2 linked regions of the Nothobranchius furzeri genome follow. The protein of the gene in region 2 interacts with the protein of the main gene of each other region in a pairwise test. Links are inferred from orthologs where the notes say so. Each region holds a gene or a part of one and is shown on either strand. Other genes may lie near its edges. The genes, in order: atxn10 and ppp1r12a.

Region 1 (3,825 bases), about 13 Mb from region 2:
CACACTTTGATGGCATCAAAATCTAAAAGAGCCTTTCCTCAAAGACAAACCATCAGAAACAAACACCTACGTCCAGTCCAGGTCCGGCTGGGTCTGACACAGCTCCATCACCCTGAGAGCCAGCTTGATGTTCTGAGGCTGGGACAGATTCTCCACCTTGGCTTCATCCAGACACGTGTGGAGAACCATGGAGGCGTAGGAGACCACTTTCTCATCATCGGCACTGAGCAGCTGCCTGTTCACACATATAAGTTTGCTCCGTTCAAGGAAGGATGCTTGGATTCATACAGTCAATAAGTACAGTGGGGCAAAAAAGTATTTAGTCAGCCACCGATTGTGCAAGTTCTCCCACTTAAAATGATGACAGAGGTCAGTAATTTACATCATAGGTACACTTCAACTGTGAGAGACAGAATGTGAAAAAAAATCCATGAATTCACATGGCAGGATTTTTAAAGAATTTATTTGTAAATCAGGGTGGAAAATAAGTATTTGGTCACTTCAAACAAGGAAAATATGTGGCTCTCACAGACCTGTAACGTCTTCTTTAAAAAGCTTTTCTGTCCTCCACTCATTACCTGTATTAATGGCACCTGTTTGAACTCATTATCTGTATAAAAGACACCTGTCCACAGCCTCAAACAGTCAGACTCCAAACTCCATTATGGCCAAGACCAAAGAGCTTTCGAAGGACACCAGGAAAAGAATTGTAGACCTGCACCAGACTGGGAAGAGTGAATCTACAATAGGCAAGCAGCTTGGTGTGAAATAATCAACTGTGGGAGCAATTATCAGAAAATAGAAGACATACAAGACCACTGATAATCTCCCTCGATCTGGGGCTCCACGCAAGATCTCATCCCGTGGGGTCAAAATGATCATGAGAATGGTGAGCAAGAATCCCAGAACCACACGGGGGGACCTGGTGAATGACCTGCAGAGAGCTAGGACCACAGTAACAAAGGTCACCATCAGTAACACACTACAACGGCAGTTAATCAAATCCTGCAGTGCCAGACGTGTTCCGCTGCTGAAGCCAGTGCATGTCCAGGCACGTCTGAAGTTTGCCAGAGAGCACATGGATGATACAGCAGAGGATTGGGAGAATGTCATGTGGTCAGATGAAACCAAAGTAGAACTTTTTGGTATAAACTCAACTCGTCGTGTTTGGAGGAAGAAGAATACTGAGTTGCATCCCAAGAACACCATACCTACTGTGAAGCATGGGGGTGGGAACATCATGCTTTGGGGCTGTTTTTCTGCTAAGGGGACAGGACGACTGATCCGTGTTAAGGACAGAATGAATGGGGCCATGTATCATGAGATTCTGAGCCAAAACCTCCTTCCATCAGTGAGAGCTTTGAAGATGAAATGTGGCTGGGTCTTGACCAAATACTTATTGTCCACCCTGATTTACAAATAAATTCTTTAAAAATCCTGCCATGTGAATTCATGGATTTTTTTTCACATTCTGTCTCTCACAGTTGAAGTGTACCTATGATGAAAATTGCTGACCTCTGTCATCATTTTAAGTGGGAGAACTTGCACAATCGGTGGCTGACTAAATACTTTTTTGCCCCACTGTAGGTCACCATGAAATGTCTCCTACTGCTGCGACGAAGACACACGACACTTACAGGAGGAGATCAGGGAAGCTCAGTTGCCAAATTTCATCTTTACTCATCTGGTTTCCAACAGCCAAGTTCCCAAGGAACTGGATTCCACATCGAAGAGCTGAACCATAGAAGATAAACATTTAGATGGATGGAATAAAGACGGTTTTGTCACTAAAATGCATTCGTTTAATCAGCTGCTTAAATTTAAACTCACGTTCATGAGTGGAATCTTTGTTTCCAATGTCTTCTGTCTGAAGGTAACTCAGAAGTTTAAGAGAAACATCGATGAAACCTAGTTCCCTGAAAATGAGGTAACACAGGGTTTTCTTGTTAATGTACAATTATCAGAAATAGTCATTAGCGCTTTGGGCTTCCTGACAGGGTTGCGGAAGGCGCTTTATAAATAAAGCTTTGATTGATTGATTGATTGATTGATTGATTGATTGATTGATTGATTGATTGATTAAAAATGCTTTTTTTTTCAATGAACCACAGTCTGTAGAACTAAACAAAAGTGAACAATTACCCTGAACGCATTTGGTAAATAAATGAAATATAAAAAAAAATGAAATAAAGAAAGTAAAGTTTACATTATTATCACAATTCAATTCAAATATACTTTATTAATCCCAGAGGGAAATCAGAGTTTTAGTACACACAATTCAGAGATCAGACATACATAGCCAAAGACACATGACAACAATTGGTGACTGTGGTCATTCGCAACCCTGAGTCGCGCTACCTTAATAAAGATCAGAGGGTTACATGAGGATTGGTTCAGGTGGAGGGAAAAAAAAGGCACTTCAGAGTTACCCTCCAGAGGGAGGGCAGCTTTGCTATGCAAAAAAAAAACCACCTCAGACAGAGATGCAACAGACTTCAGACATAAGACAACATAACTGTCCACTAGGTGGGGTGGTGGGTTTGGGACTCTCCACACTTCAGTGCCTGCAGCCATGATAAGCAGCACACATCATCTCAGTCTGGACAGGGGAGGGAGGTCGTTGGGATTTGGAGGGCACAGTGACTCCTGGAACGATTTGGCAGCTTTCACAGCCCGCAGTCCCACCCAGGCTGGGATAGGAGACAGATGCCATAGTGACGGCAGCATTCCACATTTCTTCTGAGGGGGGATTATTCGTTGCAGCCTCACAGGCTCAAGGGCACTAGATTCAGATAAGAAATTGTTTGGGGGCCAGACAGAAATAATTTCTTCTCTGTCTTAAGGTTCAGCTGGTCCTCAACCTCTCAAAATCCAATAATGGCGTAAATTAATCTATCCCAATCCATGCTGATTCGTCCACTCGATCCTTGATTGCATCCATCTTTTGTGCCAATGCATGAATCTCAGCCAAAGTTCCAAGCTTTAGACTCATCTCGACAATAATATGAGTCTGTGAATTCACAGCGCGGTGTAATCCATCCCTGAGCTCGGGGAGAGCGCCAATATTTCTTGACAGAGGGGTGGACATTAACTTCAAAACTAACCGGCCAGCCAGGCCGGTAACTCTGAATATTTACCGGCCCCGCCAAGAATCTACCGGCCCCGCTGGTCAGCTGCCAAAACGAGTCAAAATAACAACTGAACCATTTTAAATGTAATAAACCTTCATTTTGTACACATTCACAAACATAATAACGTATTCAAGTTTGAATTTGTTTGTTCCCTCAACAACTCGATTTTGTCGTCGCATACTTCCGGCATACAACGCAGTACATCACCAACTCCGCTTTGCTGTACTCGAACCATTGGCTGTGTTCTAGATGAGCCAGTTCTGCGCAGATTAGACCAACGGTGATCGGCGAGCAGTGCATGCCGGTTAGATTTGTGTCCGACTTGACGCCGACTTGCTCTGACGTCATGCATGCGTAGGCAACGATAACCTTGTGAGATCAAGGCGGCCGCAGATTTTGGAGCAAGGCGCTGCAGTTGCTCTCCCTCGGCTGCAAAACCTAGGGGATGACGGGAAATGCCTGGCTCTCACCTGATCTAAGATCTGATTGGTTCATATTTTGATCCAAACATCCGGTGGTAGAACATGAAATGTTAGTTGGTCACATGTATTCTGTAAATCATGTTAAGTTGATGATGAAAACTATATAGGCCATAAAGAGAAATGTGTTTTGTTTTCTTTTGTCACGTTTCCTATGAGCACACTAAAACTGCAGCTGATAACCTTTACTTATTGCAGTCATGTCTTCATATACA
Region 2 (3,925 bases):
GGTTTTACAGTTTTGCAATCTGGTTTAAGAAAACTAAGAATAAGATGTTCAAACGAACTGTAGCTATTAAGTGGTAAGGGACTGATTAATAAGTCTGAATGAAAAATGGTTGCTACTCCTCCTCGGAAAAATGGTTGCTACTCCTCCTCCTCGCCCTGTACTTTGAGCAATATGATGATTTAAATAATTTGAAGGAGTCGACTCATTTAAGCTAACATAGTCCTCTTGCTGCAGCCAGGATTCTGTGAGAGAGAGAGCAAAGAGATCTGATTATCACAAATCAAGTCATTAACTAACAAAGTCTTTGAAAAAATTGATCTAATGTTCAACAACCCACATTTAATTTTTCTAGTTTTCTGCTCAGTAGAATTTGTTCTAATATTTATGAGATTTCCATGATTTGCTTTATTAAGCCTGATATTTAATCTGTGTGATTTTGGCCGTGGACAGGACACTGTCTCTATGGGGTAGTGGGTGGGTAACAGTACAGAAGCTGCAGAGGGGTGGGTTAAACTACGACTCTGCTTCCTGGTCTGGACCCTGGGTTGTTTAAACAATATTTCGTACCAGACACTGCAAAAACATAAAATAAAATAAAAAAAAGTTTTTAAACTTAAAAACATGGATTTAATATATGTTGTAGTTTAGTTTCAGGTTTGTTTTTATATGATAATCAAAATGTATTATATATATATATATATATATATATATATATATATATTTATATTCTACTACTACTACTACTAATATTTATAATTATTATTATTATTATTATTATTATTATTATTATTATTATTATTATACAATTTAACTTAAAAAACAATAAAGTATTGCTGTCAAAACTCTGACACTAGTCAGTGACTCAGTGCACTTTGCTGGGTTTCTTTTTATAGGAAGCTTGTTACTGATTGGCTTAATGACCTGCATGGACGTAATTTTCACTTTAGAAGTGGGGGAGACACGGGAGGGGGGGGGGTATCTTTACACTATGCTCTAATGGGAAACAGGCTTCAACACAAACAGTTGTTTTCCGCTTTGTCCTAGAGCTCAACCAGTGTCAATTTAATATAGCGTAATATTGCTTTTGGATGGTAAAAAGTGCAGGGGTCAAATCTTGACTTTGGAAAAAGTGGGGGGGACATGTCCCCCCTGTCCCCCCCAAAATTACGTCCATGATGACCTGAACTGGAATGTTTACTGTGTGAAGTGCCTTGAGACTTCTCTTGTCGTGATTTGGCGCTATATAAATGAACTTGAATTGAATTACATAATGAATTTGCAGTTACAACTAGTTCTATTTTACATTCGGTTCATTTTTATACACATATTTGAATAGTAAAGATTCAATTTTAGTCACATCCCTCAAAAATCATGTACATAAAATATTATATGTCCCATCGGTTTGCCAGAGATCCCAACTAATGACGTTATGCTGCAGTCTGATCTGATGCTGCCTCGCCTGAGCTCCAGTTCTCGCGAGATTATCGGAAATTTCCAGACGTCCTCTTTCACGCCGTGTCCCCTCCTCCTCCTCCACAGCCCTCCCCTCTTCCCACGCCCCAGTGCGTTGTGGGATAGTGGCACTATAAAGTATACCCTCTCTCGGACAACGATAAGAAGTCTGAGTCAGGAGGGGGATGAAGATGGCGGACGCCAAGCAGAAGAGGAATGAACAGCTAAAGCAATGGCTGGGCTCGGAAACGGACCAGGAACCTTCTGTTTTGAAAAAGAAGAAGACGAAGGTGAAGTTCGATGATGGCGCCGTGTTTCTGGCTGCCTGCTCAAGCGGCGATACCGAGGAGGTGCTCCGTCTACTTGACCGGGGCGCTGACATCAACTACGCCAATGTAGACGGTCTCACTGCTCTTCACCAGGTTCGTGTCTGATTGCCATTGTTGGCCATTTTATCTATTTGCACCGTAGCATCAGTTTACCGTCTGTAACTGCTTCCTGTGTTGTAACACCTGTCAAATTGAAGCCATTCTCACTTCGCTGTTTACCTACCTTGCACACTCGCCTTTTTCGACGCTGAGAATAGATTAGCACCTTCCTGAGCCCTATTAACTGGTTTAATGCCTGTGCACATATTACAGAACTTCGTTTTTTTAGTTTGATTTCTTTTAGCCTTTATAGACTAGCTTCGATCCGTATTAAAGCCTTTGGGTGCAGTCTAATTGCTGTTCTGTTGTAGCTCAAAATCCCACAGCTATGTCGTCTTTTTTCTGGAGTGGTTTTAGACAAATTAGTAATGACGTTTTCTCGTGTGCAGTGATTGCTGTGTAAAATCTAAAACTTAAAATGTGTCCTAAGTAGTCTCTTTAGTAGTAGCTGTCATGTGTAGAAGCATAATCCCAGATCAGTTGATTCCACCAGCGGATGGTGTAGTGCCGCAAGAACTTCCACTGGCGTAGAATGGCAAACTCTAAAGAAACAAACCGAATGTTGACACTTTGCTACCCTCAAGACCCCACGTTCCATCAGTTATACTGTTTTTAAAATATATATGTTAACTATATGGGGTGCATTCGTGAAAGAGTGTTTTCCCCCAGCACACAGCACCGGCTATTACCTGGCTAGCAGTAAAAGTCGTTTTGTTGATAAATCCCTCAGCAGCGACGACTCTCAGGGGGTGAAACCAAAGTTATTGGACATTAGTTGTTATTTTAACTCTAATTGATGTCTTTAAGTGACATTTATGTATTATTTCTTCTGACATAATTAATAAACGCAGTGGTATTTACAATGAAGAATAAAATGTAGTGAGTTGTGAGCTAGCGCTGTTAGCATGCTAAGATAACCGACGCTGGCTGTTATGGAGTTGATTTTGACTCGATTCATTCATTAGCCGAGGTGACGGACGACGTGCCTCGTTCTTACTAGTCTCTATTTCTTTCTTTTTTTACATTTCTTGTCTTTGTGGCGTGTATCAGAACACCAATGTGTATGCGGTTGGCAGTTTGTTGTTTTGACAGAAACGCCATCCGTGCCAAGCTAACAGTTTTGCTGCTAATCTCTTTAGCAACGTTCACTAGCATATGTGCTCGGAGTGTTATCAGACTGCGGCGACCTCATCCGTAAAATTATTTAGAAAGGGGGCCTGGATTAAAATAATCACATAAAAACACTTAAATATTCGATCGGCCGGTGCTCGTAGTGCCCGTGTCCTCTTGAAGGTGGGACAGATATGTTCACTCTGGGAAAAACAGCTAAATGTTATGCTGCTTATAAACTAGGCCTGCAATAAACTAGCTTTAGAACACGATGAACTGTTCTTGTTGAACCCAAATCGAGTTCATTTTTATTACGCACCCACTTGTGAGGCTGTATTTTGATGAGTCAAAGACGCAAATATTCATGTGTGTTGATGGAAATACCTAATAAAAAATCCTAAACTATTCTACAGACATCCTCTTAATATTTCATGTAAAACTGCTGCAAAATTAAGATGATCATCAAGTGAATCTATTGTCTGATCGTCTTAGATGATAATTTAACCTTGATCTTCACTTTATTTCAGTAAATCCAAAGTTTATAAAGCCTCCCGATTGTATATCTTTCCTGTTTTAATCCCAGCCAGTGTCTGTTCCATTTTGTCTCACTCATGGACTGTCACTTGCTTTGTATGTGGCATGGAGATGACCATATGATGCAGATTTTTGCATTAGACACTCCTAGCAGAGAGAAACCAACTGTTGGAGAGAGGCAACCGATTTATAGAAAGCGAATAAATGCCCATTCTCCTTAAAAGCAAAAACAGACCCTTGTATTGTCAACAATTTCACTGAAACTAATCAAAAGTCCCTTATCATAAGCACACTTTGTAAGTTTATGTTCCACAAGCTGTTCTAAAATAGGCATTATGTGTTTATAGATCAAGATGTGTTCTACCAAATATACGAGGAGGCATTTCAAACCAACCAATGCC

What was found.
Region 1: the proteins of ppp1r12a (region 2) and atxn10 interact in binary tests that used the Homo sapiens proteins (3 or more experiments, as listed by UniProt). The link is inferred for Nothobranchius furzeri from reciprocal best matches to the Homo sapiens genes PPP1R12A and ATXN10.

The regions. Positions count from the first base shown.
Region 1 is NC_091741.1:53,728,118-53,731,942, forward strand, and holds part of atxn10 (ataxin-10), read right to left. Parts: intron 1,917-3,825; coding exon 1,831-1,916; intron 1,735-1,830; coding exon 1,638-1,734; intron 236-1,637; coding exon 71-235; intron 1-70. UniProt on the Homo sapiens protein: May play a role in the regulation of cytokinesis. May play a role in signaling by stimulating protein glycosylation. Induces neuritogenesis by activating the Ras-MAP kinase pathway and is necessary for the survival of cerebellar neurons.
Region 2 is NC_091741.1:40,818,576-40,822,500, reverse strand, and holds the start of ppp1r12a (protein phosphatase 1 regulatory subunit 12A), read left to right. Parts: upstream 1-1,536; 5' UTR 1,537-1,637; coding exon 1,638-1,874; intron 1,875-3,925. UniProt on the Homo sapiens protein: Key regulator of protein phosphatase 1C (PPP1C). Mediates binding to myosin. As part of the PPP1C complex, involved in dephosphorylation of PLK1. Capable of inhibiting HIF1AN-dependent suppression of HIF1A activity.